Linked DNA regions of Saccharomyces cerevisiae S288C. The gene in region 1 interacts genetically with each later gene. Each region holds a gene or a part of one and is shown on either strand. Other genes may lie near its edges.

Region 1 (6,180 bases):
CATGAAATCAACACTGTACCACATTCCTCAATGGGTTCCACTCCGCAATTACCACAATCTACACTTCAAGAAAACCAGCTATCATAAAATTTTACAAATAGCCTTGCGTCTAAGTTAGCAGAGGACATTCTGTATTCCTGAGGAGTTTCTTTATATTTATTATGTGATCTTGGAGGATTATCATTTTCTTTTCGTTCAATATTTTATCCCCTTCAGTTATTTCCAGTTATCTACATCAAAATGTTTGAATTTTATTTCTTTCTGCCGCTCTCAAATTCACTCTCATTTCTTTTTTCTTTGTTTTTCTTATATTTACTATATATATATATATATATATATATATATAGCCAAAAACAATAACAGACACAGTAATTTAGTATGCGTTTATCTCTTATCTTTCATCCACTGCGACCGAAACGTTTGAATCGAATCTGACTGAGGTTTTTCTTACATTCCCTTGTGTATCAACAGTTTCTGGTATGTCTAATTCAAATTCTTTTCCATTCTTCAGTATTTCTTTTAAATCTGGCTGGGCCTCTCTCATGGAAGATTTACGATTACCAGTTGATTTCTTAGAGCCATCTTCACTACTATCATTGGAATCTATTTTTTCTACTCCTAAATTAGCATCCGCATTCTTTTTCTCTAGATTTGGAACTCTTTCAAATGTAGATAGTTCATTTTGACAGCGGTCACACTGGCATAAGAAGCCCCAGTTAACTCTTAATTCCCTACGCCTCAACCTCACCCCATGTAAGGGATTGACGTACGTAATACGTATTTGTTCCCCCTTCTTTATTGGTTTCCTTGCATGCAACCTCAGTTCCTCATGTTCTTCTACTTGCTCAATATAGGCGTTTGGTTCACAATCATGGTTTATGAAGGAGATCCAATGATATACCTGGCCGTTATATTGATTGATATTGAACGTCCCGATCATGGTCAAAAATTTCTCGAAATCTATTTCTTCAGAAGCTTTTGGAAATGCACCGCAAAATAATTCGTAGCACTTCTCCCAAACAGTCTCGTCATCAATATTCTTCTCAACGCCCTTTTTGGTACCATTATCAGATTCCTCTTCAGTATGTACAGTTGTACCATTCAGTAAACTAAACGTACTGCCGATACCGCTGGCGTCTCTTAATTTAATTCTTTCCCTTTGTGAGATGCTTGCCAATTTTTGCCATTGCTCTTTGACCTCTCCTGTAGTATCCAAAAGCATGGATCCATATATAAGACCAACTGAAAAGGCAGCGGTAAAACAATATTTCTCACAGTAGTTAACAAATCTTTTCCAATTACCAGCATGAAGAATGTCTATTCTATTCGATCTCCATGAGTGGTATAAAAGCTCATGTAACGACGCATGTGCTTTTTTACATTTTTCACTGCACCAAATAGCTTTGCAAACTTCACAATCCAAATAATGGACCATAATTTTGTGCTGGGTCAAATCATATAGCGCCTTACCACATCGAGCACATGCCTTTCCATTAGATATTAAAAAAAGCTTGTCCAGTGGTGGAATATATACGATAGGTTTATTTTCTTTCAGGATGATTTGGCCCTTGGAAAAATCTCTTTTAGCGAAAAGGCCCCTTCCATGTTCGTCATCAATAAATTTCACTTCGACCTTAGCATCAGAATCTAGGGCTTTTGGAAAATGTATTTTATCTTTATATAGAGAAACGGTCTCTAGATCTGTGTCATAAAGATGGTGCTCATTTAGAATTTTTCGAAAACGAGAAGCACTCAATTTCCACGATTGATTTCTTTCCGTAATCCTGTCATAAAGATGCTGAATCGTAGCGTCTTCAGTTCCGGGCTCTTCCTTCCATAACAAAACTACGTCATCACAGATCTCTTCCTCTGTGGGAGTTATCTTTCGAAAATCAGAGCCATTTTCTGTACCATTATGCACTGCAGATTGATCGCTATCGTTTAAGGTTCCTATTTTGATAGTCAATGTCATTTTTGTGCCACTTTTCGTTATTTTGTATCAGTGCACGCTTGGTTATTTACCTATTTAGCTTCTATTGTTATATGGAGAAGTTCCCCATGATTATGATATCAAGAAAGAAAAAGAAAAAGAAAAATAATACGAAAAAAAAAATTACGAAGCTAAAATAAAAAAAATTACGGCAAGGAAAGGGTTTACTGATAAAATTTGTTATCATTCTTGCTAGTCAGTAAGAGCATATCTGCTCAAGTAGACAAGGGAAACTATCGCAGGTGGTCCGGAAAGTACTTGACAATCAAATGCTCGTCTGAAAGCCAATGAGGAAAACTTGTAGACTGTACTAATTTTTCAAGAGAAAGAAAGATACCGTATGTTTGACTATTCTAACGAGATTTATGCTACAAACTCCTCGAGAAGCAAACTGAGGTAGAATTACCCACCCACAGCGCGATAAGTCACATTGGCGCCCTGGACTTGACGAATACTCCTATCAATAGTAAGGCTCGCAAACCGCCCGTCCATATCAAGCCATTAAATTCTGTTATTATCCTTAAAAGTGAAATGCGCACCACAAGCTTGATGGCATTTCCTTCTGCACTTCTCAAATTGATAGCATTGCCTTGCGAGCAGTAGATAATTTAGATAAAGTGTATCTTGCCAGGGCCTTCCCAGGCATTAACTAGATAATGTGTTCTTTTTTAGCTGAACTGTAAAGCGTAAATGTTAACGCTGGATAAGTACCGCGTGTACGGTTGATTGAATGATCTTACTGATAGAGGCCAGGCGGTTGATACTTTGTGCAGATTTCATACCGGCTGTCGCTATTATTACTGATGAATTGGCTCTCTTTTTGTTTAATGGCCCATCCGATCCATATTGCCTTCTTATGACTCAAAATTCTATTGTGTTTGCCGGTACCGGCCTTTAAGCTTTGAAAAAAAAAAAGCATCTGAAAAAAATGGCACTATAAAGAGAGCTAGTGGTAACAACTACATGTTTTCGTTAGAATAAATCACCCTATAAACGCAAAATCAGCTAGAACCTTAGCATACTAAAACATGTTGCAGAGACATTCCTTGAAGTTGGGGAAATTCTCCATCAGAACACTCGCTACTGGTGCCCCATTAGATGCATCCAAACTAAAAATTACTAGAAACCCAAATCCATCCAAGCCAAGACCAAATGAAGAATTAGTGTTCGGCCAGACATTCACCGATCATATGTTGACCATTCCTTGGTCAGCCAAAGAAGGGTGGGGCACTCCACACATCAAGCCTTACGGTAATCTTTCTCTTGACCCATCTGCTTGTGTATTCCATTATGCATTTGAATTATTTGAAGGTTTGAAAGCCTACAGAACTCCTCAAAATACTATCACCATGTTCCGTCCGGATAAGAACATGGCCCGTATGAACAAGTCTGCCGCTAGAATTTGTTTGCCAACTTTCGAATCTGAAGAATTGATCAAACTTACCGGGAAATTGATCGAACAAGATAAACACTTGGTTCCTCAAGGTAATGGTTACTCATTATACATCAGACCAACAATGATTGGTACATCCAAGGGTTTAGGTGTTGGCACTCCCTCCGAGGCTCTTCTTTATGTTATTACTTCTCCAGTCGGTCCTTATTATAAGACTGGTTTCAAAGCCGTACGTCTTGAAGCAACAGACTATGCTACAAGAGCTTGGCCAGGTGGTGTTGGCGACAAAAAATTGGGTGCTAACTATGCCCCATGCATCTTACCTCAACTACAAGCTGCCAAAAGAGGGTACCAACAAAATCTATGGTTGTTCGGCCCAGAAAAGAACATCACTGAGGTTGGTACTATGAACGTGTTCTTCGTTTTCCTCAACAAAGTCACTGGCAAGAAGGAATTGGTTACCGCTCCATTAGATGGTACCATTTTAGAAGGTGTTACCAGAGACTCTGTTTTAACATTGGCTCGTGACAAACTAGATCCTCAAGAATGGGACATCAACGAGCGTTATTACACTATTACTGAAGTCGCCACTAGAGCAAAACAAGGTGAACTATTAGAAGCCTTCGGTTCTGGTACTGCTGCTGTCGTTTCACCTATCAAGGAAATTGGCTGGAACAACGAAGATATTCATGTTCCACTATTGCCTGGTGAACAATGTGGTGCATTGACCAAGCAAGTTGCTCAATGGATTGCTGATATCCAATACGGTAGAGTCAATTATGGTAACTGGTCAAAAACTGTTGCCGACTTGAACTAATGATAATGAAGGTAAACATCCCCTCCCCCCCCAAAAAAAAAAAACGAGAATTCCTCTCAGAGGATCTGTTTTTCTCTCACTTTATTCACATAGATACATACTTTTTTACAATTCCTGTTGAGTTTATTTATTATAAGAAATATTGGATTACTATTATTATTATAGCTTATGCAAGCCATTGTGCGGCTTCTTACGCTTTTTGAAATTGTTGACCTAACAACTTGGCACATTATTGAATTTCATAGAGACTGCTTGTAATTTAGTTGCCAAGGTATCTCGCTGGACTTTACATGTAAAATGAATGCGGCAAGATACCCAAGAGAGTTGATTATGCCAAAAAAAAAAAATCTATAAGGATATCCCTGGTATTTTCTGAAGAATAAATTCTAGCGTAGTTCAGAAGAGGTGCAAGTACAGTATGAATAATGGTATGCCTTCCATCATCGTGGCATACAGGTTCAGGCATGAAGAGATGATTATGTTCCCTCACCGGTCCATAATCCTGATTTAAACAGTTCATTAGTATATGTTCAGCCAACACAACAACGAGAAGCTTTGTAGTGAAAGTTTTCCACGATCTATATTTAGCATTCTAATTAGCGGCCCCAAGGGAACGTATATAAACATAAACAAACGGCACGAACTAAAGGGGCAAATTCAAGTTAACCCTTTTACACTCAGTACATCTTCAAAGCCAGTCTTCTGTCAATGGAAGAATCCAGAATGCCTAAAACTAGTTATTTAAACAAAAATTTTGAATCTGCTCACTATAATAACGTACGTCCCTCTTACCCTTTATCTTTAGTCAATGAGATAATGAAATTTCACAAAGGCACACGCAAAAGTTTGGTTGATATTGGATGTGGCACAGGAAAAGCAACTTTTGTCGTTGAACCCTATTTTAAGGAAGTGATTGGGATTGATCCTTCTTCTGCTATGCTTTCGATTGCTGAGAAAGAAACAAATGAACGTAGATTAGATAAAAAGATTAGATTTATTAATGCGCCTGGTGAAGATTTATCCAGCATTCGACCAGAAAGTGTAGATATGGTTATTTCAGCAGAAGCCATCCATTGGTGCAATTTAGAAAGGCTGTTTCAGCAGGTTTCCTCTATATTACGAAGTGATGGAACTTTTGCATTCTGGTTTTATATTCAGCCGGAATTTGTGGACTTTCCCGAAGCCTTGAATGTATATTACAAATATGGATGGAGCAAGGATTATATGGGTAAATATCTGAACGACAACCAACGGGAAATTTTGTTGAATTACGGTGGTGAAAAGCTACGTTCTTTATTGTCAGATCGATTTGGAGATATTGAAGTCACAATTTACAGTCCTTCGGACCCAAATGCATCAACAGTAACGGCTGAAAACAGTCAGTTTCTCTGGAGAGCAGCTATTACTCTCAATCAATTTAAAGAGTTTGTGAAAAGCTGGAGCATATACACTTCTTGGGCTAGAGATAATCCCTCGAAACCGGATATTGCCGATATATTCATTAACGAGCTCAAAGAAATCTGTCATTGTGAAGATTTGAATGTACCTTTAAAAATAGAGTGGTCAACGTTTTATTACTTATGTAGGAAAAGAGAATGAGGTTTACTAAATTAAAAGAAATATATAAAAAGCTGATTTTTTTCTTTTTTTAAATATTTCCCAAATGCTAATAAATATTAAAATATGGCAAAAAGAAAATAAGGTGTTGTTGCGCAGTTGGGAGTAATTTAAAACCGTCAACATATGCTCTAAAAATTTTATTGGCTCTAAATTCCGACCTCTGAATGTAATTATGTTTTAAAGCGATACGTAAACTTGTTACTGTTAACATTAAAAGATAATGCAATCATGGTAACATAATAAAGTCTCAAAAAATTCTTAATATTAACTATAACATATGCACTTCAGAAAGCTGTTTCCGGATCATATCTCATTATAAAAAGCTCAATTTATAGAAAAATAATGCGACAGTGCAAAGTA
Region 2 (3,970 bases), on another chromosome or scaffold:
TCGTTTAGAGTTGGTTTAGAATACTTACTCAAAGTCATGTTGAAATAGTAGTTTGTAAAATTTGCTTTTAATGTAGCTGGTTTTCTAGCTTAATTGATCAAATAAGAACAGAACAATAAAGGACGTTGCGAAATAATATCTATTGATCTCTGACGAGTATTTATACCCTATTTCCTCTCCATTACTGATGGTGATGTGATGTGATGTGGTGCTATCTTGTCACCCTTAATCCATTGGCCGCCTTTGCTAATCCCGCGCGCATTTTCCCTTTATCACCACCACGCCGTGCGATGGACTTGAAGTATTTACTATTGATAAAATAATACTGAGAGATTAAAGACAATGTACTGAATATAAACTATAGCACTTCAACGACCGCGGGCCTGAAGCGGATTAGGAATTAAAATAATTATTATAGAGATTGGGTAAAAAAATGTAAATATTTCTGGCAAAATATTGTAACTCAACTGTAAGAGGACAGCCGGAAAAAAAGATTCAGTTCATGACCTTGCATTTACCTTTGCCCTCTCCGGTGGGTTAATTTCCTGCGTTGTAGTCCCGCCCGGAAGCCTTTCCAATTGCTCCACCGTATCACTTACAGCTGGAACGCGCCCATTGCTAGGCCTTGTTAAACCGTAATCCGTATCTAAAGAGTTAGCTTGGTGAACTACAGCAGCGGGAGGTCTTTCTAAAGAATTAACAGATTCTGATGAACATTCTTGTACCAATGGCGGGGGGGCCACGTATGCAGCCTTATCGTTGGGGTGAAACTCGCCCCGCTGGTCATAGTATCCAAGATCATGTTCGTTCGCTGTTTCTGTATACTCAGGAACATAATCATCTGTCCGTTGCTGAACGGTCCCAGTATATTGTTGCTGAGACTGTCTGTATGAAGGCGGTGTCAACCATGCCGTACCTCTAATGGGAGCACGCCCCATCCTTCGTCTCCTTCTGTTCGCTACAAAAGTGAACAGTATTATAAGGATTACTGCGGCAACAAACAGCACAAACAAAATCCATATTCCTGACTGCCATGACGACGATGATGGCCCATAGTAACTAGTCACAAATTTGCTAACGTGATGGTTATCTGCCTTTTTCACCTCGTTTATCGCCTCATTTTCGTATGAAATAAGTCCCATTCCTTATTCTTAATTCGAGTTATACTTTCCTATTTATTGGAATGATCAATAAGCTATTACAGGTGCCTTTTCTGCATGAGCTTCCTGTCGGTCATTTAAATACTTAAAATAGAAAATCCCTTTTAAATCAAACTTTTTTTTTCAAGGCTTAGTTGAAAAAAAAAGTAAGCCTCATCATCGAAAAAAGACATAAAAGAGAGGCTTCGAGAGAGGAGGCGGAATAAGACTAAATTAAAATATGATTGTGGGGTTGACACTTTATTTTGTATTATTCCGTTCAATACAGTATTTACTGGTTTTTTTGACTCCAATTAGGCAGTTTGATACATCAACATCACTTTTATTAAACGAATTATGTTCTTCTCCCTCTGAAATCAACAGTTATTGGAACAAGTATTTTTGGAATAAGCTACTATCATGGGACAGTGTTTTTTTTATCAAGAACATAACTTCCAAAAACGGAAAACCTCAATTTGAGCATGAATACGCGTTTTCTCAGTTGTGGACTTTTTTCGTTAGGCTGTTTATTAAAAGTAATAACGATAGCATCTACCATGCCTTAAGGGTTGGAGTTGCAATAGAAAATGTTTTATTTTACTTGTCAGGTATTGTTTTATATTTTCTAACAAAAAAAATTTTCAGCCAAAATATAAGGCAATCACAGTTTGCTAGAACTATCGCTAAAAAAACATCTCTGTTGTTTTTCTTAACGAGTGCCGCTGGATTTTTAACAAGCATATATTCTGAACCATTATCTTTTTTTTTTGCATTTGTTGGTATTTGGAGTCGTGAATGCTCCATTTCCGTGCCCGTATTGGGTCAATTCGATATTTCGTGGAGATATTGGTTTCCTTACTCCTTTATCAGCATGGCTTGCTTTACCTTAGCATCCTTGAATCGTTCAAACTGTGTTTTGTTAGGGATTTACTTTATTTTTGACCTTATTGAACTAACAAAGAACAGGAAGTTTGTAAAAGCAATATGTTTCCCACTATTATCAGGATCATTAATGTTTTCTGCTCTACTATATCAACAATATTACCTACCATATAAGACATTTTGTCCTCAAAGGGGTGAATGGTGTAAATCTCAATTGTTTTCAAGCATTTTTATCACGAAAACTTCTTTATATTCCTACATTCAGAGTCATTATTGGGGAGTTGGGTTATTGAAATACTGGACCCCAAACAACATCCCAAACTTTTTGTTTGCTGTCCCAAATATTATTATTTTAATCTATTCCTCCATATATTTCAGCAAAATTTATCCCTCCTATAACTTGAAGGCTCTCGTATGGATCACCAGAGCACTGGTCGTCATAGTATGCTTTTTTGCCCATGTCCAAATTCTGAATCGTATAGCCTCCTTTTTACCCTTGCACCTTTGGTATTTGGCTGATAGATTGGTTAAAACTTCTGATCCAAAAAAAATGGAAAATCCGAAAGGTGACGATAAGATAGTCAAGTTTTACATATACTGGTTGGCATTCTGGATACCTTTACAGACTATCCTATTTGCAGCTTTTTTACCACCAGCCTGATCCTTAATGCTTGTATATTTCTTCTTTTACTAAAAACATATAAAAACTATTTACATATAGAATATAGAATAATGCGACACTATGACCTTCTTCATTTTCTCTTTATTCTTCACCCTTTATTTGAAATTTCAAGGTTTACTTTCTTCTTGTTAGTATACTATTAGTTAAAAACTCTAGGGCAGAACGAGCATCAGATTCAGGAAGAGAATCCCGTAGATTTTGTAATGCCTTGTCCCTATATTCCTCCGCTAGTATTTTCGTCTTCGCTATACCATTATGGAGTCTCACAGAATCAATAGTTTTTTCAACATCACCCCTCTCTGAAAAATTGCGTGAAATTAGTGGACCTAAAGATGGGTCTTCTTTCCATGCAAACAAGACTGGAGCAGTAGCAATACCTAATTTTAGATCCGCGCCGGATGGCTTCCCTAAATCTTTTCCAGACACAGTAAAATCAAGCATATCATCTACGAGTTGGAAACATATACCTAGATTTCTACCGAAATCATAGCATTCGTCGATAACGGCAGGTGATGCCCCAGATAATATAGCAGCACATCTGCAAGATTTTGATATCAAAGCAGCAGTCTTCAGATAGGTCTTGTGTATGTAGTATTCAAATGCAGTTTCTATAATCTGATCATGAGATAATTGCAGCCCCTGTTGGCGGCTTGGAACACGAAAGTCGTGCTCTTTAACTTCAAGCTTTTTAGAAGGAACCGGAAGTAGCTTATGGCCATTTTCGATGGTATCGATATCCGCGTCAATGGAAGTATTTTTCAGTTGCATGAACTCACCTTCGACAAGATTCGCAATACTATTAGACATTAGTTCTACGACTTCGGGGTTGTGTAATCTTGAAATTGACACTGTTGCTCTCCCTAAGAGAAAATCACCCGCCAAAACGGCCATCTTGTTGGTAAAGGCAGCATTTCCGCTTGGCCTTCCTCTTCTTGTATCAGAATGATCAATAACGTCATCATGAAGTAAAGACGCAGTGTGTATCATCTCTACAATCTCTGCTAATCTTCTCTGTTTGGGTAAAATCCCTCTTTGTTTGTCAAAAGTTTCTTCTGGCAAAGGCTCAGGACCTTTTGTCAAGGGATTTAGTGGTTTAATACCGTGAAGAATATGTAGTGGGGATATGCTACTTGCAGGACGTTGAAATAGTTGATTTTGACTAGGTTTAGAGTAAATTGGGTCCTCAGGAACATCCGACTTGTCAATTTTCAAGTGATTTCTTTCTGTCATGGGAATTTCAGAAAGTGCTCTTGACAACAACAACACT

Evidence for each region. Genes that interact genetically often act in the same process or in processes that back each other up.
Region 2: mutations in BAT1 (region 1) and RCR1 together harm fitness more than expected from each alone (negative genetic interaction), as found in Saccharomyces cerevisiae (2 studies listed by BioGRID).

The regions. Positions count from the first base shown.
Region 1 is NC_001140.6:514,514-520,693, forward strand, and holds BAT1 (branched-chain-amino-acid transaminase BAT1), read left to right. Parts: upstream 1-3,018; coding exon 3,019-4,200; downstream 4,201-6,180. Other genes in the region: kinase-regulated stress-responsive transcription factor SKN7, read left to right, coding at 1-87; SET5 (S-adenosylmethionine-dependent methyltransferase), read right to left, coding at 392-1,972; CRG1 (S-adenosylmethionine-dependent methyltransferase), read left to right, coding at 4,924-5,799. UniProt on the Saccharomyces cerevisiae protein: Mitochondrial isozyme of branched-chain-amino-acid aminotransferase, involved in the biosynthesis of the branched chain amino acids (BCAAs) leucine, isoleucine, and valine.
Region 2 is NC_001134.8:243,078-247,047, reverse strand, and holds RCR1 (Rcr1p), read right to left. Parts: upstream 1,143-3,970; coding exon 501-1,142; downstream 1-500. Other genes in the region: UGA2 (succinate-semialdehyde dehydrogenase (NAD(P)(+))), read right to left, coding at 1-38; GPI-anchor transamidase GPI18, read left to right, coding at 1,381-2,682; COQ1 (trans-hexaprenyltranstransferase), read right to left, coding at 2,818-3,970. UniProt on the Saccharomyces cerevisiae protein: Regulates chitin deposition in the cell wall.